2 linked regions of the Notamacropus eugenii genome follow. The protein of the gene in region 1 purifies or fractionates together with the protein of each later gene. This does not show direct contact. Links are inferred from orthologs where the notes say so. Each region holds a gene or a part of one and is shown on either strand. Other genes may lie near its edges.

Region 1 (9,417 bases):
TGGAGGCATAGATGATTATAATCATCCCATGTACAGATGACATCAAGCTAGCACACTGAATAAGAAAGCCAAGATTGAGACATTTTGACCGTAAGGTTGACTCTAATAAGATGAAATTGAGTAGAGATAAATACAGAGTCTTGCATTTGAATTTAAAAAATCAGCTTCAAAAGCATAAAATGGAGGAAGCAGTTGTTCTGAAAAAGATCTGGGATCTTAGTAGGCTGCAAGTTGAATAGGATTCAGCAGTAAGATGGGGCAGCCAAGAAAGCTCATAGGGTGATCTTGGACTGTATTAAGAATTCCATGCTTCCAATGACGCAGGCCATGGTGATTGTCTCTCTGTGTTCCACCATCACCTGACCTCATCCAAAGTATGGAGGTCCATTCTTGAGATCACTCAAAACGGAAGGATATTAATAAGCTATCGAATATCCAGAGGAGGCCACCATGATGGGGAAAGCTTTGGAACTAGGAATGTTTAGCCTGGAGAAGAGAACACTTAAGGGAGATATGGTGGCTGTGGAGTATTTGAAGAGGTGTTATATGGTGGAGTAATTCGACTTGTTCTAATTTGTTCTGCCCAGAGAGCAGAACCAGGAATTGTGAGGGGACGTTGCAAAAATACAACTCTAGACTTGATATCAGGAAAAACCTCCTCCCAATGGAAGCTGTGCAGTGGAATGGGCCATCTTGAGAGGGTCTCCAGGCAGAGGGTGAGACCACTGGTCAGGCTTCTTTTCATGCCTGTTGAACTAGATAGAGGCTACTGAGGTGCCTTTCATCTCCCTAAATCTGTGATTCTCTGATTTAAATTAGTCAGCACAATGAGGGGCCTGGAAACCACCTCCCAAGCAAGTGCTTGTCATGAGGTGAACACTTCACAAATGGTCATCGACTGCTTTACTTGACCTGCTTGCACAACAGTGAGGACTGACCTCCAAGGACATCTAAGCACAGGTGTAGAATATGAAGGAGAAGGGTGGAAGATGATGAACAGTACCACCTCAGAGAGCAAGAGTGAACACATGAGTCCTCACTGATAGGAGCCTTGCTCAAGCCAAGAACACCTACTGGCTGTCAGTGATAGAGCTGGATAATGAGGGAAAGACCACTGCACTTGAGATCATGAAACACCTGGGTTTGAATCCCAGCTCAGATGCTCAACTGGCTGTGTGACCCTGCCCAAGTCACTTAACCCAAGCCTTCTTTCTCTCATCTGTCCTCACTTCTAACCTAGCACTGCTCTCCACTCCGGAGACTTCTATGCCTCCCCCCATCTCCTCATCTGCCTCCCCAAGCAGGGAGATGCCTCTGCCCTGGCAGCCTCCTTGGATCAGTGAGTCGCTGCCCTGAACCTACATTTAATGGAGTGCCCAAACCAGCCATGGTTCCTTCTAACCAGGTCAACTCTGTTGTTCATTGAACATCTACACCTTGCCCCTTGTGGGAGTTCCTCCTTCTCCTCCCACTTCTTAAATTTTTTTTTAAAGCAATCAGGGTTAAGTGATTTGCCAAGGGTCACACAGCTAGTGAAACTGCAAATCTATTATTTACAATTTGCTACCCCTTTTTAAATATATAATAAAGTTATCAAGTAAATTCTTTGTTCCCCCTCCTCCTCTTCCCAGAAATGGTTACCATTAGACACTGGTAATCATTTAATATCATTTGAACCTCAATAAGGACCAGAGTCTAAACTAATCAACCAGAAGAAGCCCCGCAACCTGACAGATATTCTCCTTCTTACATTTCCTGTGGCAACAAGGCCAGAGAGAGCTAAGAGCATTTTCCTCTGTTTATGGCCACTAAGACCTTAACCCGAGACACTACCTGGAATAAAAGGACTTTTCTTATCTTAATATTTTATGGACATATACTATAACTATGTCAGGTTAATGATAAAGAAAACAGATATCCTGGGTCATAATTTCAATTGACACTGTCAACTTTCTTATCTTACTGTATTTATTACCTATTCAGTTATGAAAATTCCTTTTTCATACTATGGTTAAACATATTTGGAGATCATAAATTTAAGTGACGTAGACATCCTGAGTCGGAATTGTTCTAAAATGTATTTAAGTCTTCTCATTCTTTTTATCAGACAGATTTTATCTGGCTCTGTGCATGCATGTATTCTGCTAGCTTTAAGGGAATAAAATAACGTGAATTTATAAATCCCCTAGCCTGTTTGCCTCTTTTAACAAAACTTTCAGGTTGACAACACAAATATATATGTATATATGTGTATGTAAAATTTATAGATATATAACATGTTATATATATGTAAAATTATATATTATATATGTAAAATTATATGTTATATTATACATATTATGTATATGTAAAATTACTACATACTTGTATTTATCAGTTCTTTCTCTGGATGCAGATAGCATCTCCCTTCACGTGTCCTCTGTAGCTAATTTGGGTACTCATAATGGTGGAATACAATGATAAAAATGAAACAGTCCCTGGCCTCAAGAAGTTTACATTCTCTCAAGGGAGACCTCCATATGTAAATATATATGAAATGCATCCAAAATACAAACAAAGTAGTTTTGGAGGAGGGGAGAGCCAGCAGCTAGGGGTGTCAAGAAAGGATTCAAGAGGAAAATGGCACTTGTGTTGAGTCTTGAAAGTAAGGGATTCTCAGAAGCAGAGGTGAGGAGAAAGGGCATTCCAGGCATGGGGACCAGCCAGTGTAAAAGCCTAGAAACAGGAGATGGAGGATAGCATCCAGTTTGGCTGCTGGTAGTATAGGAGGGAGAGCAATATCCAGGATGACATGGGCTAGGGTCAGACTGTGAAGGACTTAAAAAGAAAAACAGAGGTTTTTCTATTTTATCTTAGATCAACAGGAAACTACTCCTAGTGTAGAGCGTGGAGGAGTCACATGAGCAGATCTCTGCAGAAGGAATATCCCTTGGGCAGCTTTGTGGAAGACACATTTGGGTGGGGGGAGACTAGAGGCCATTGTCATAGTTGTGGAGAAGAGATATGGGCCTAAGCTAAAATGGGGGCTTGTGGATACCAAGAAACAGTCAGTAATGAGGGATTGCATGGTGAGAGAAACAAGATTTGGGTTCAAACCCAGGAGAATAGAACTGAGACAATGCCCTCAACAGAAATTTGTGTTGCTGTTCAATGATTCAGGTGAGTCCCTTCTTGACCCTATGGCCCATAGCATGGCACAAATTGGAAAGTGACAAATCAGGGTAAGTTTGAAGGAAAAGATGAGTTCTCTTTTGGATATTCTGAATTTGAGTTACAAGGACATCCACTTGGAAATGCCCAAAAGGCAGTTGGTGATGCAGCATTGAGACTCAGGGCACTGTGACTTGGACATATAGATTTGGGCATCGCCTGTATAAAGACAATAATTAAACCGTGGGAGCTGATGAGGACCAAGAAGAGGACTAAGGGATAGAGGAGCAGCTACGAGTCAGGAATACTAGCTGTGTGACCCTGGGTAAATCATTTCATCCTGCATGCCTCAGTTTACTCATCTGTAAAATAAGCTGGAGAAGGAAATGGCAAACCACTGCAGCATCTTTGCCAAAAACCAAATCTATAGAGGGTCACAGAGAGTTGGACACAACTAAATCACAAATCCCTCTATTTCCTCCCAACTTCCAACGTCCTGCTCTAACGCCTCATCTTGGAGTGCTTCTATAAGTCTATGGCATTCTGTTGTGTTCCAAAGGCTTCAAGACCAATCCCAGTATTTACCACTTTTTTGGCTTTCTGAGGATCGGCCCAAGCGCAAGGCAGGGAGGGGGTCATCACCACCAGATTGCGTCCTTGATGAGTTCTTTGACTGTGACTAAAACCCGGGCAACCAGGAAAGGCACAAAAGAGCCTTGGGTCCTGTAAGCCAGCACTTGAAAAGTGATGGTGCAGGGAAGAGAAAGGGCGGCGGAAGGGGCTGGGGATCCCAGTTCTTGGGCAATCTGGAAGTCTTAGCTCAGTCATCAGTCCTTCAAATGTAAGCCATTTAAGGTGAGTCCCAGAAGATGGCTAGGTATGGATGGAGTGTGGCCTTCAAGACTTTTTGATTCGATTACCCAATGTATACAGTTAAAAACTGTAAAAATGTCAGGTATCACCATCTTGTTACATTCTGGTTTGTGCGCATGTAAGTCTTCTGCCCCCAGGATTACAAAGTATCTTATCCCCTGGGGAAAGGTTGCAGAATGACAGACAGAGAGCCTTTATTCCCTTTTTTCCGTGAAGGGACATGTACAAATATACCCCGGTGCCCGCTGTCTCTCCGAACAGCTCGGTGCTTCCATAGTGCGTGTGGATTGATTGGAGCTGAAACAACAGAACCTAGAACCGCAACTGGAGGAAAAGAAGTCTTCAAGACGCGGATGAGTGAAAGAGATGCAGCAGAACGGGGCAGAGGCCGGGCCGGGCCGGGCGGCGCCCGAATTCCACTAAGGGGGAGGCGGGGGACTGGGAACTTGGGCTTCCGAACCGACTCCGCGATGCCCGGTCCGTGTGAGTGCGGGATCTGGCACTGAGCCCCGCCAGGCGCAGGCAAGCTCCCGCCCAGGACGCCTAGAGCAGCCCTGATCCGCGGGGAGCCCGGCGGACTGAGCCGGTGGAGCGGGGCCCCGCCGTGACGCGGCAAAGCCGCGGGTCCCAGGAGGAAGGACCGAAGCAGCCCCGGGGACGTTGGCCGGTTTATGGCGGACCAAGGCGGGGAGAAGTGGTAGGGCAAGTGTGTCGTGACTCTGCCTCCGCCCCGGGATCGGCCGCGGCGCCCGCAGAGAGACCTGAGAAACGCCACGTCTGGAGGCAAGAGAACACCTGCAGGTGCAACCTCACCCCAGGAGAGTTCGGGCCTGCTGGTCAACCAGGGGGAGTAACGGTCGGGGAGCGCGTGCGTTCGGTTGTGGGACCAGACGACGAGAGGCTGAGCAAGGTGGGGATGGAGGGACGAGAGGAGGGAGGAAACGGAGGGGATGGAGGGGATGGAGGGGATGGAGGGGTGGGGGGATGGAGAGGATGGAGGGGTGGGGGGATGGAGGGGTGGGGGGTAGGGAGGAAACTGACGGGATGGAGGAGATGGAGGGAAGAGGGGTGGGGGGATGGGGGATGGGGGATGGAGGGGTGGAGAAGGAAGGAGGGCTGGGGAGTTTGGGAGTGTAAATGGGGAACACCTCGGAGCAACCCCGCTCTTGTTTCTCAGCAAATCCCATCCTTCCGCCTGGGGCCAGGGGTGCCCCTTCCCACCCCTCCCCTCCCCCCCCACCCTTCCCTTCCCCTCCCCCGCTCTCCTCTTCCCCTCCCCCGCTGGTCTTCCCCTTTAAGGCGGCGGGGGAGGGGGCAGCACCCTCCCCTTCCCTTTAAGGCCCGCGGCGGCGGCGATCGCGCAGGCGCGTGGGTGGGCGCGGGGGCTGCCGGGAGAGGCGGCGATGGAGGCTGCGCGGGCCGTGCGGGGCAGCTGAGGCCGAGGAGGCCGGGCCGGGGCCGGGCCAGAGCTGGGGTTGGGGCCGGGGTGCGCAGGTGAGCGGGGGCAGGGCGGGGCGTCGTTCCGGAGAGAGGACGGGGGACCGGGAGCTCCTCCCGCCTGTGCCTCGGGCGCCCCCTGCGGGGCGGGGGGCTCCCCGCTCTGGCCCGGGGCACCCCTCGGGGAACCGGCAGGGACCGGTCCGGGGCATCTCCGGGGGAGGCGGAGCTCCCCTCTATTACGGGGTGCCCCGGGGGAAGGTCTACACTAGGAATAACTCCACACCTGCTACAAGTTGTCTGCCGTCTAGAGGGAAGGGGTGGGAGTGGAGATCACTCACAAGAAGGGCCTTCATCCCTAGGGGATGGACCAGGCAGGTCGGTGTGGTCCCTAGGGCCCAACTGGACCGGGGATAGGCCCCCATACAGCCCCAACCATCGGGGGGCTCCTCCCCCCCATGCTCCCTCCTCAGGGTCCCGGGGTGGGGGCTAAGAGGCCGAGTCCCCACCGCATTGCGTCTGGGAGGGAGAGCGGCCGCTGGAGACGCCCCCTGGAGGCCGCTGCAGGAAGTCCGGCCGAGCCACAGGCAGGACCCCCCTCCCGGCTGGGAGCCCCCCAGGCTGTCAGAGCCCCAGAGTTCTCGTCCTCCCCCTGCAGGGGCCTCCTCCCAAACCCGAACCCTCCGACCATGTCCACCCTGGTGATGTCTCGGGAGGAGAAGCCGAGCCAGGATGAGATCGTGCTGGGCACCAAGGCGGTCATCCAGGGGCTGGAGACCCTGAGGGGCGAGCACCGCGCCCTGCTGGCCTCCCTGCTGGAGAATGTGGCCGGGCGGGAGGCCGGCGAAGCCGAGCCCGGAGCCCAGGAGCGCTCGGGACTCCTGCGCCGATCTCTGGAGGCCATCGAGCTGGGACTCGGAGAGGCTCAGGTACCCGGGGGCCTGGGTCTGGGGGAGGCGGGGCCAGGAGTCCAGTGCCCCTCCCCCGGGCCCCCCTTCAGCCTTCTCTCCTGGCCGAGGGGCCGTAGGTGATTCTGGCACTGTCGGGCCACCTTGGGGCCGTGGAGTCAGAGAAGCAGAAGCTCCGGGCTCAGGTGCGCCGCTTGGTGCAGGAGAACCAGTGGCTCCGGGAGGAGCTGGCCGGGACCCAGCAGAAGCTGCAGCGCAGCGAGCAGGCCGTGGTCCAGCTGGAGGAGGAGAAGCAGCACCTGCTGTTCATGAGCCAGATCCGGAAGCTGGACGACGACCCTTCTGCCAACGTGAGCCCGGACCCTCCTCCGGCTGAGTGGGCTCCCTTTTCCTGGCACCCCTCTCCCGCCCCACACATAACCTACTCAGGGGCTCCCGCCCACAGGGCCGACTCTGGATCCCCTCCCTTCAGACCCTCCTCCACTGCTTTTCTCCCTTGTGTGATTTTTTTCTTTCGGGTTGCTGATTCATCCCTCAGGAGGAGAAGGGGGATGCTTCCAAGGATTCTCTGGATGACCTGTTCCCTAATGAGGATGAACAGAACCCAGGTAGGGAGATGGGGAGAAGTGGATCTCTTAACTTTGGGCCCTGTGACTGGTCAGGAGGTCTCAGTCCATGAGGGTGACCACATATATGCTTCTCAGAAGCAAGGGGGAGGAGTGTGTGACTGCATTGCCTGAGGACCCAGAAGTATGCAGATAAGGGGGAACCTCCCAAGACTCCCAAGTATGTGCTGCTGACTCTGTCCCAACCCCAGAAGGCCCTGGGGCCACCTCTGAACTCCTGCCTTCCTCCAGCTCAGGGCTCTGGGGCCGGAGATGCAAGCACCCAGCACGGAGGCTATGAGATTCCAGCCCGGCTTCGGACCTTGCACAATCTGGTGATTCAGTATGCCTCCCAGGGGCGCTATGAGGTCGCTGTCCCCCTCTGTAAGCAGGCCCTGGAGGATCTGGAGAAGACCTCAGGGCATGACCACCCCGATGTGGCCACCATGCTGAACATCTTGGCTCTTGTATACCGGTAAGGGGACGTCTGGACCTTGGGGAAGGGGCAGCTAGGTGGTGAGGGGAATAGTGTACCGGACCTGGAGTCAGGAAAACTCCATGAGTTCAAATCTAGCCTCAGCCATGTGGCTCTGGGCAAGTCACTTCACCCTGTTTGCCTCAGTTTCCTCACCTGTAAAATGAGCCGGAGAAAGAAATGGCAAACCACTCCAGTGTCTCTGCCCAAAAAAAACTCAAGTAGGGGCATGAAGGGTCAGGCAAGACTGGAAAATGACTAAATGAGAGGCAGCCTTGGATTCTGTACAAAGTAGGCTCTCCATAGGATTGACCCTACCCCAGGTGAAGAAAGGAGGGGCCGGTGTAGGTGTATGAACCTAGAAAACCCACACTGGTGCCTGAAAGCCCCTCATTGGCTCATCACTCCTCTGAGGTCAGCCTTCCTCCCCTCGAAGCCCCTCACAGAAGCTGAAAATCTCCCTGTGGCCCAGCAGGCAGAGTCCTGGCTCAAACTGGCAGCAGCCTCATTTTATAGATGGGGAGCAGGAAGTTGACCAGCAGTCCTTCCCCTGCCCCTCCCCCACCTCCTTGTCTTCTCAGTGATCAAAATAAATACAAAGAAGCTGCCCACCTGCTCAATGACGCTCTAGCCATCAGAGAGAAGACCTTGGGCAAGGACCATCCAGCTGTGAGTGAGGCCCGGCTCCCTGGGCTGGGGGTGTGGGGCGAAGAGGACCCTTGGCTGGCCAGGCCTCTGCAGCCGTTTTCCTCTCTTTGCCCTGGACCCAGGTGGCAGCTACCTTGAACAACCTGGCGGTTCTGTATGGCAAAAGGGGCAAGTACAGAGAAGCAGAGCCCTTGTGCAAACGAGCCCTGGAGATTCGAGAGAAGGTAGAACCCATCTGGGGGCCCCTGTCTCCCTGGGCCTGGGGGAGGAGCTGGGGGGGGTGCGTCAGGGCACAAGTGAAAGGAGCCTCCACCTTCTCCTAGGTGCTGGGCAAGTTCCACCCGGATGTGGCCAAGCAGCTGAACAACCTGGCCCTCCTCTGTCAGAACCAGGGCAAGGCCGAGGAGGTGGAGTACTACTACCGGCGTGCTCTGGAGATCTATGAGGCTCGGCTGGGTCCTGATGACCCCAACGTGGCCAAGACCAAGAATAACTTGGTGCCTGATCCAAGGGAGGCACTGGGGAGGGACAGCCAGGGCGCACTGTGGGCCCAGCATGGTAGGGCGGCTGGGGCCTCACTGTCTCCCTGTCTCCCCCTTCCTCAGGCCTCTTGCTATCTGAAGCAGGGGAAATACCAAGATGCAGAAACCCTGTATAAAGAGATCCTGACTCGTGCCCATGAGAAGGAATTTGGCTCAGTCAATGGCAAGTGTCCCCCCAGCCCATCCTGCCCTTTGGAAGGGGATGAACCTTTTAACCTGGTCTTGGGGCTCCAGGGCCTTGTGACAGCCCCTCCTTTCTGTCTTCCCCAGGAGACAACAAACCTATCTGGATGCACGCTGAAGAGAGGGAGGAAAGCAAGGTATGGGGAAGGAGAAACTCAGAGCTCAACTCCCCTTGGGGCTTGGCCCTTTCCTTCCCCAAGGTTTCACTTTTCCTCCCCTTCAGGAGAAGCATCAAGACGCCACCCCCTATGGAGAATATGGCAGCTGGTACAAGGCATGTAAAGTGGACAGGTGAGAGGAAAAACTGAACCCTGGGGGGTCTCGGGGGCTGGGGAGCAGAAACCGTGAGAACCCCTGGCTCATGCCCATTTTCTCCAGCCCCACGGTGAACACCACACTTCGGAGCCTCGGTGCTCTCTACCGCCGGCAAGGGAAGATGGAGGCAGCTCACACCCTGGAGGACTGTGCCACTCGCAGTAGGAAGCAGGTTGGCACAGGGCCTGGGAGGTCAGGGTAGGAGGCATCAGGGGCTTCTCAGCTTCACCCCCACCTCACCACTCTCCTCCTATAACCAGGGCCTGGACGCCATGAGCCAG
Region 2 (9,610 bases), on another chromosome or scaffold:
TAGTCTAGGAGAGATAAAATATAGTGGAAAAGAGAGTGGGAAGATAAGACAGAAGAGGAGGAAACCCTTCTGGATGCTAATAAGAGTCAAGTGAAGGGGCCGAATATGGCGTTGTGAGAGGTGAATGAGCTTCTGAGGTATAAGTTGGGGGTGAGTGAAATGTGAGGTTGTGGGGATAGTCTAAGAAAGCTACAGTGTAATGGAATTGGTGGCAGTCTGGAAGAGCACACTAACAGAAAATGAGCAAACAAAAGGAAAGCTTTCACAGAGAAGATAGAGAACAATTTACATAATAACAATAAATTGTAAAGACAAGCCATCTTGAAAGATTTTAAAACTCTGATCCATGCAATGACCAGTCAGAATTCCAGGGGGTAGACACCATGCCACCATATACTGAAAGAGAGGTGGTGGTGGATTCAGGATGAAGAATCGGATATATGATTTTTTGGAGGGGGCTACTGTGGGAATTTGTTTTATTTGACTTCATATTATCACATTAAAGTAAAAAGATATCAAGCATCTATTTTCTCTTCCTCCCAGGCTCTCCCAACCGTCTCTCCCCCGCCACCAAGAAAAAAAAAACTTGTAACAAATAAGGGCTACGTATATTTGTTATAAGGGTTTTATCTTTCTCCCCGCAACGGGGGAAGAGGGAAAAAATTGCTTGTTAATTGAAAAAATAAAAAAGAGGGAGGTGGAGAGAAAGGAGCTCAGGGATGGAAGCCAGGTGCTAGGTGGTCAGAATACTCTCAAGGGTGCTACGATGCACAGAGGGTGGGTGGAGACAGACAGGAAGAGAGAAGCCTGGAGGGAGGATCTGACAAACCCTGGGATAGGTTTAAGAGGGTTTGAGATCGGGGTTTCTTCATCTTTTTTGGTGAAACCTACGAATCCACTCTCGGATTGGTTTTAAATGCACAAAATAAACACCTAGGATGACAAAGGAAATCAATTATATAAAAAGTCACTTATCAAACTACACAAAGAAAAAAAGAGCTCCTGGGCCCCAGGGTAAGGACCACTTGTCACGGAGAGGGTGCGGGGAGGGGCAGGAGCACAGCCTGCAGCTGAAGGCGGCCTTGGGCAGGCCCGGGGCACCGCGGCTGCAGGACTCGCCCGGGCGGCACAGGCCGTCCGGGAGACAGAAAGGACTCGGACTCGGCTCCGGCTCCACCTCCGGCGCTCCTGGCCGGCCGCACCCCGGGGCGGGGGTGGGGTGGGGCGCCGGGGACCGGGAGGGGGCAGCCCACCGGGGCCCAGGCGCGAGCCGGGGCGCTCGAGCCAGCGCCCGCGGGCGGGTCCCCGGCGACGGCCGAAGCAGCGCGGCCGGGAAGGGACCGTGCCGGGCCGCGGGGCGGGGGCTGTCCGGGCCCTCTACTCACAATGCCGGGGAGGTCGGCGTATTTGGGGTCCGCCATGACACTGGCAGAAGAGGGCAGGGAAGACAGGGCAGGGGGGATCCGGGGCCTCGGCGGGGCCGGAGCCGAAGCTCGAGCTCTGCCCGCGGAAGAAGCCGGTCGGGGGCCCGGTCCAGGGCTTAGTCGGATGCGGCGGCAGGGGCGGCAGAGGGGAACGAAGTCTCGCGAAAAGACGGCCGGGAGTCGGCAGAGCCAAGAGAGGGAGAAGCCGACCTCGCGAGAATTGAGGGTTCTTAGCCGCTGCCCCCCCACCAACCGTGAGGTAGAGGCAGGCGCAAACGAGGCAGAGAGATGAGGTAATGGGGGAAGAGAACCAACTAGGATTGTGGGATGTGTAGTCCGAAGGGTAGTCAGAGTGTAGCCTCCCTTGAAGATATTGAAACAATGTATCTTGTTATAGGATCATGGATATAAAGCTAGAAGGGACCGTGGAGATCATTTAATCCAGAGGTTTTTAACCAAAAAACAGCCTCCTTCTTTGGCAATGTGCGAGAGTCAAGCGCATTTATTTAGAGCCTACTGTGTGCCCACACGGGCTCAGTAAATAGATCATTGAGCCTGAAAGACCTCAGTTCAAATACCTCCTCAAACATTTACTGCAGTGTGACCCTGGGCAAGTCATTTAACCCTGTTTGCCTCAGTTTCCTCATCTGTAAAATGAACTGGGGAAGGAAATGGCAAACCACTCCAGTATCTCTGCCAAGGAGTCAAAAAGAGTCAGACACTACTGAACAACAAGAACATGTGCCCACAGCCTTGGGGATACAAAGGCAAAAACAGTCTTTGCTTTCCAGTAGCTCACAATCAATGTGGGTGACAATTTCAAACAACTATGTATAAACAAGATATATACAGCATGAGGAGAAAATAATCTGAGAGGGAAGGCACTAAAATCAGAGGAAATCTATGGGGCTCTCCTCAGAATGATGTTTTTAAATGAATAAAATAAATACATAGGATTATAAAGGAATTCCATTATAATGAAATACACTTATAAAAAGAAAAAGCTCCTTCATATTTAAAACTGCTGAGCTAGTAAAAGATGCTACCAAACTTCCTGACAAAAAGAGGTGATAAGACTCAGAGCGCAGACTGAGACTTTTTTTTTTAGACCTACCCAATGTGGGAATTTGTTTCACTTGATTGTACATATTTGTTATAAGGGTTTTATCTGAAGTTTAGACTCCAAACCCTTCCCATTACACAGGAGAAAACTGACCCGCTAGGTTAAGTGAATTTCCCAGTGACACACATAGGTAGTGGGGTGTGTGTGTGTGTATGTGTGTGTGTTTGTGGTGGCAAAGAACTGAAAACTAAGGAGATGTTTGTCAGTTGGGAAATGACTGGACAAGTTATGAGATTTGAATGTGACAAAACTATTGTGCTGAAAGAAACGATGAAAGGGGTGCCCAGAGAAATCTAGGAAGATGTGTATGAACTGATGCAGAGTAAATTGAGCAGAACCAGAAGAAGAATTTATGCAGCAACAATATTCTAAGGACAAAAATCTCAGAAAGACTGAAGAATTCTAATCAGTGAAATGACCAGTCATGATTCCAGAGGAATATTCCACCTGCCTCCTAACAGAAAGATGATAGTTGCAGAATGCAGATTGAGACATATATGTGCATGCATGTATGTGTGTACATATATGTGTGTGTGTGTATTTGACATACCTGATGCTGGAATTTGTTTCACTGAACTATACATATGTGTTATAAGGATTTTGTTTTTCTTTTTCACTGTATCTATATTTGGGAAGTGGGTATAGAAGGGAGAGAAGGTGGATTTTCATTTCTTTTTCTTTAAACAACCATGAAAGTCTTATGAACTCTTATCAGCACAATGACCAACCATGATTTCAGAGCAATGATCTCATCCACCTCCTGACAGAAAGGTGACTTAGTATTGCAGAATGAGTTACACATTTTTGGATATGGCCAATATGGGAATTTGTTCTGCTTGACTATGCAATAGTTACTATTAAAAGTTCCCTGATTTCCCCCCTCTCTTCCTAGTAAAGGGAGAAATGGCAGGGAGAATAAAATGCATGCTTAATTGAAAAAATAATTAATTAAAAAAATAAAATATTTAAAAAGAGGTAGAGCTGAGATTTGAACTGGTCAGTCCTCTGGCTCCATACCCAGCACCCTTTCCGTTGTATTCTATGGGCAGCAAATAACATGATGGTAGATCACCTGGGATCCAGGTGGTTTCCTCACACCAATTCTATGGTCTACATGAAACCTTCTTTAACTGATCTTCATTCCAGCAGCTTCCCTTGGTGCATTACTTCCTACTTATCCTATATATAGCTTGCTTTGTATTTATTTGTGTATTTTCTTCACCATTAGATTTTAAGCTTCTTGAAGGCAAGGACTGTCTTTTGACTTTTTGTATCCTCAGGTTTAGCACAGTGCTTTTTTGCACATAGCGTGTGATTAATAAATGTTTATTGATTGATAATTCATATAGGTAATTCATGCATTATTAGTCCTCATTTAACAGATAAGCAAGGCTGGATGCTTGTCATTTTATCATGCTGAAACCTTAAGAAATGTGACACAATTACTGACTGCATGAATGGAAATGTATGACATAGTAGAAAGAAAATTGACTCAGAGTCAAAAGATATGGGTGTGATTCCCAGGTACACTTACTAGTTGGGTGACCAGTGGGTAAGTTACTTTACTTTCTTCAATATAATGAGGACAGTAATGCTCATGTCACCTACCTCACAGGATTATGATGAGTAAAGCAAGTATAATTGTGAGTTGTTCATTACAATTCATCTTCCTATGTGGCTCTCATTTCTTTTTCATCGCTTTGTCCCCTTATCCTTTGCCCCTTGTCGTTGAGTCTTCTAGCCCTAGATTGGGTGGGGTGGTGAGGATGCTCAACCTGAAAAAATTCTTAGTTGTGTTCAACTCGAGTACCCCTACTCACCTTGATGCACAAGCTCATCATACACTGAGAGGTTCAACCACTCCTCTCCCCCTAGAGAATTTCAGAGTGTCCAGAGAGCCCTTTCCAGCTCCTGCAGTCTGACTTTGCTTCCCAACTGCCTCTCCTGCCTGCCAAGGCTAATGACGTCTAGAAAAATCAATCTGACTTGCCTCTTTATAGATCTGCTCAGGGGCTGCAGCAAGAGTCAGACCTGGGGGAAGGGATTTGAGGGATGATGACTGTTCAGGGTCTCAGAAAGGGAAGAGATGACTGCGCAGGGAAATTCAGGACACTGAACAACACATATACAGGCCATTCTACAAATGATCACTGCATAAGGCTCTTGTCTCCCCCAGCTTTCCTACTCCTCTGCCTGCCATTTGCATTTCAGTGCCTCCCCCAGCCCAGCCAGCAGATATGAGAACACCAGAGAATCAGACAGCATAGTGGACATTCAGAAAGATCTGCTTCAGTGCCTTCATTTTACAAAGGAGGAAAGGGAGGCTCAGACAAGGAGTAATGATTTGCCCAAGGTCACACACTCAGAGTCATAGCTAGGTATTTTTGTAGCTGGGGCAAATTCAGCTGGGGATGGAAGAGGGTAGCTGGAGTGGACAGCCTGTGTTTTCTCAAGGAGATGGGGAGAGCAGTACCCCTAGAGAGTTCAGCCCTCATTCTGAGGAAGTTGGGTTAGTCAGGTGGTCCATAGGGACTGGACAGGCCTGGGGACTGTTTCACCAGTGTAATGACTCTGCTGGGTCAAGGACCAGGAGGCTAAGACCGGAGGATTGTGGTTGCCAGAGGATGGCAGTTGCATTTGCAAGAGGATGCTGGTTGCACGGGAACTGCGGTTGCTGTGGAGAGGAAGCAAGATCCTCGACCACCATGTTTATGCCCTTGAACAAAACCCCAATCGCTCTAGTTCTGGCGCTAAGTGGCTCAACTGGGTTTGAAACTCAAGTCTTTTGACTTCAGTAACTCTCTCTCTTAAGGAGGAAGAATCAGAACCTGAACAATCCTTTCCTCAGGACTTTATTTACAAGCACACACACACACACACACACACACACACACACACACACACACACAAGTGCGCAGGACCTTAGAATGTTTTTTCTCCTCTGAACTCCCCTCGCCCCCCAATGTCTATCCACGAACTTTGCCCTTCCAGAGAAACGTCTATGGTAGTGGAAAGAAGAACATCCCGACAGCTCATGCTTTCCCTGCCCCGACCCCCATCCACCATGGGGTCTTGGAATGCACCTGCTAGGGGAAGGGCTGTTTGGTCTCTTTCAAGGACTACTCAGTTAGGAAGGGCCCTCACTACCCTCCACCAGTTTATACTGGGGAGGAGGGGCAGCTGTCCGGGAAGGAAGAGGTCCTGAATCTTGATCATTACGCCTTCCTCCATTGGGATGGGGAGCTTTATTTCTCTGCTTCCCTCCTCCACTCCTAGAGGGTGGAGCTGGGGTGGGGGGCGGGGATGTTGTTCTTCTGCAGCCAGTTCTTAGTCAACATTATCAAACTGGTTATCCGAGGGGACAAGGGTATCCAGGATTCAGTAATTATATGGGAAATGGGGGTATTTGGGGGGAAAGCCCCGGTTCCCTCTGGTGGGAACAGTCAGGAAGGGATGAATAGTTTATCTAGCAAATTAAGAAAGGGGGGGCCGGATCCTTTCCCATCAACAGCCCAACCCCTTCCACCTTAAGAGAAGCCCCGCCTCCTGCTCTCTCCCAGAATCCCCCCCCCCCCCAACTCCAGCAACCCCGCAGAGTAGAGCTGCAGCGGGAGGGGCTGAGGCAGAGAGGAAAGAGAGAACCAGAGGCGAAGCTGAGGGGGTTTTCTCTGAAAATCTCCTGAACCATCAGAGAGAGCTTCCCCAGCTCCTCTCCCTTCATCAGCCTTCCTTTTCCTTCTCCATATAGCATCAGTGCAGGAGATTGAGTCACTTCTGTTCCTCTCGTCTCTGCTGAGCTCCCCCAGCCTTTCTCCAAAGCGCCCCCACACCACCACCACCGCTACCACCACCGGTCATCACCATGACGGAAACCAACAATGAGTGCAGCATCAAGGTGCTCTGTCGATTCAGACCCCTGAACCAGTCGGAGATTCTGCGGGGTGACAAATTTATCCCCCTTTTTCAAGGGGACGACAGCGTCATTATTGGGGTGAGTGCCCACCAGAGGATGATGGGGTGCAGGGATGGGCATCCCTATAGGATATGTCCCAGATGCCAGAGTTAATGCTTGTTTTGTTCCTCCACTCATCCAACTCCTCTCTCCATTTCCCTTCACTCTCTGTTCTCCTTCTCCCTCCATCATCCCTCCATTCCTCCCCTTCTTTCTCCATTCCCCCCACTTCCGCAGCCCCTCCCTCCCCACTCAATCCTTAGCTCAGGCCTTAAATGGGTGTGGCCTGGGCTAGAATCTGAACTCTTGGTTCTCTGCCGAGATGAAGCAGGTGTATTTAATATCTCCCTTTTAACCTACACCCTAATCCAATCAATGATTTCGAATCCCGCCCCCCCTTGCAGTGTGCTAACCAGTTATACATTTATTCTCCCATTTTCTAATTCAGAGGTCAAGATTCTATTCCTAATCTCATCCGTACTCCCAGTTTTCACCTTTGTATCCCAACCACACCCCAGTTGAGACTAGATCTGCTAGGAAGAGGATCCTGGGTGTCTTTTGTTATGCTTAGTCTGCTCACCCCAGGGAGGCCTAAGGTGTGGGGCCAGAGGATACCATTCTTCGGCTCTGGGGATTTATAGACTGGAGGGCTATTTCCATCTCTCAGCCCCACTACTATCGCTTTAACTTGTCCCAATCACGGTTCTGAAGGTCACTGCTGTGTACCCTCCCACACCAATTTGGGTTGATGGAGGGAAAAAAAGCCTCTGAGGTAAAAATAAAAAAATTAAACTATTTGCAACCCCTTAGGACAGAACTTAGTAGGGAAAAGGATGCAGGATAAGGCATATTTAAGGTGCAGGTCCCTTCATCTCCTCAAAAAATAGCCAACATGTTCAGTATCCCTATCTAACCACATCTTTTCATAGTAACCAGTTTCATCACAACAGTCCCCACCCATGGAGGAGGAGATCAAGAGTGCACGTCATTCCCCTGCATCATGGCCTAGGTTTGATTCCTAGGCCCAGGCTCCAGTCCAAGTCTGGTAGTATCCTAAAGACTTCCCAAATCTTCATAATTCATGTCTGTCACAACTGGAATAATAAGGGCTGTGTGGTTATGGGATCCAGGTAACCCCTGAAATTGGAGAAGAATGTAAGGGTAGTAGAGCCTGAGAGCTGAAAAGTCTGAAGTGGGGGTTTAGAAGAGGGAAATATTAAGAGTACAGATATACTTGGGGGAGGGGTACAGCAACGATTGTCAGGATGTACTAAAGACAGAGGGAATGGAGTTTTAGATGAAAGAGGAATTGAGAGAGACAGACAGACAGAGACAGAGACTGAGACCCATTCTTCCCTGCCTCAGTCCTCAAGGACAACCAATTCCACTCTGTCCTTCCCCCAACTGGAGTCCTAACTGTTGACTCAAAAAGATGGATGCTATTTGCTTGTCATTTTAATGTGTTTATTTGGTGCCATGAAGATAAGGTCTGCTTTTCTCTCCTCATTTCCCACCCTCTCCTCCCCTTCCTCCCATCTTGACTGAACCCATCTTAAATAAATAAATAAATAAATTTAAATCCCTGCTTAGCATCTGGAGATGCTTTTCTCTCTTTCAGCAGCCAATGGTATAGCAGGAAGAACACTAGATTTGGAATCTAAGGAACTGTGTTCAAATCCCAAATCTGCCACTTATTACCTGTATGACTCAAATTTAACAGACTTCAATTTCCTTTTCTCTAAATGGGGGGGGGGGGGGGCGGTGCAGTGTTGTTGAACAAGGTGATCTTCAAGAGGAGACTGAATGACCACTTCTTGATACATTCCTGTACAATAGGATTTAAGTTAGACCACCTCCTGGCTTCCCTCCTGTGACCTTTAGGCTCTGCTCAAATTCCAGATCTTAGGATTCAATGAAACAGTGATTAACTATGGGCCAGAAGACATAAGGGAAAAGAAGGCTGTGGGAATATGGGTGGTTAGTGACAACGAGCACATTAGGTAGACTTTATAGACTTTAACCACTCTACCCCTGAGTTTAGTTGTTGCAGATGGATTTTTCAGATAATGTTGAACTAAACTTCTCTCTTTCTTTCATAATACTTCAGTGCTATGATTCTATTTAATTAAAAGGTAAGGAATGGGTTGTGTCTCCCAGCTTTCCCCAGTTAAGACAATAGATGATATATATTCAAAGAGGGAAAGAAGAGACACTTTACTGAGACCACCTCTGTCTTTTCCCTCTTTTGGGGGGCTTCAAATTTTCCCATCTGTCTCCTTGTTTCTCTCATTCTACAGGCTTAGACAGAGGGGTCATTTTGTCTCAGAAACCTTGGTAGTTCTGTCTCCCTATTTTACATCCATATGTCCTTGCACTGAGGACATGAGACCTGAGCAAAGAAGCATTTATGGGGCGATTAGGTATTTTGAGGGACAGTCCTGGCTTTGCCAGTAGGGAAGAGGGAATCTCTGTCCCTCTATCCTTATTTTGGAAAAGGCTGAAAAACTAATGTGGAAATATGTTTACCATGATTGCACATGCATAGCCTATATCAGACTGCTTGCCTTCTTGGGGAGGGGAGAGGGAGGGAGGGAAGGAGAAAGAAAATTTTGGATCTTATAAAATAATGAATATTGAAAAAATATGTAAAAAAGGAAAAGGTTGAGAGGAATGAATTAGGGGATGTTTTAAGATCTGCTGAAATGTAAGGGAAGATCATAGAAGGTATGTTTGTAGGGAAAAGAGAAGGATAAACTCCCTTGGCCCTAACTCCTTGCAACCTTCTCTCTTTGTAACCAGCATTACTTGGTCTCTGTAGACCTTTTGTTAAAAAAAAAAAAAGCAACCTTTTTAAATGACTAAGCTTTGGATTAGGGATTAGGGGACAATATTGTAAACTCTCTCTGTGCCCCCCATAACTCTTCCCATGGATCTGAGGGAAGGGTCATAGACAATATTCACAGCTTGTTTGATTTTAAAATGGTGTCGGAGTTACTGTGTGGTGTGCACTCACTCTGTGTCATTCATTGTTTCTCTGCGTACATGGATCCCTCTTACAGCTCTGATGGAGAAAGACCTGGTGTCTGGGGCGCCAGGCTGTCTAGGATGCAT

The links.
Region 2: the proteins of KLC2 (region 1) and KIF5A purify together in Homo sapiens (affinity purification with western blotting; 3 studies listed by BioGRID and IntAct, with this or other methods). This does not show direct contact. The link is inferred for Notamacropus eugenii from reciprocal best matches to the Homo sapiens genes KLC2 and KIF5A.

The regions. Positions count from the first base shown.
Region 1 is NC_092873.1:18,868,561-18,877,977, forward strand, and holds the start of KLC2 (kinesin light chain 2), read left to right. Parts: upstream 1-5,789; 5' UTR 5,790-5,918; coding exon 5,919-6,389; intron 6,390-6,487; coding exon 6,488-6,718; intron 6,719-6,906; coding exon 6,907-6,976; intron 6,977-7,225; coding exon 7,226-7,448; intron 7,449-8,029; coding exon 8,030-8,117; intron 8,118-8,218; coding exon 8,219-8,320; intron 8,321-8,419; coding exon 8,420-8,593; intron 8,594-8,701; coding exon 8,702-8,801; intron 8,802-8,908; coding exon 8,909-8,958; intron 8,959-9,044; coding exon 9,045-9,112; intron 9,113-9,199; coding exon 9,200-9,308; intron 9,309-9,396; coding exon 9,397-9,417. UniProt on the Homo sapiens protein: Kinesin is a microtubule-associated force-producing protein that plays a role in organelle transport. The light chain functions in coupling of cargo to the heavy chain or in the modulation of its ATPase activity.
Region 2 is NC_092874.1:232,926,555-232,936,164, forward strand, and holds the start of KIF5A (kinesin heavy chain), read left to right. Parts: upstream 1-6,123; 5' UTR 6,124-6,409; coding exon 6,410-6,538; intron 6,539-9,610. Other genes in the region: DCTN2 (dynactin subunit 2), read right to left, coding at 1,386-1,421. UniProt on the Homo sapiens protein: Microtubule-dependent motor required for slow axonal transport of neurofilament proteins (NFH, NFM and NFL). Can induce formation of neurite-like membrane protrusions in non-neuronal cells in a ZFYVE27-dependent manner.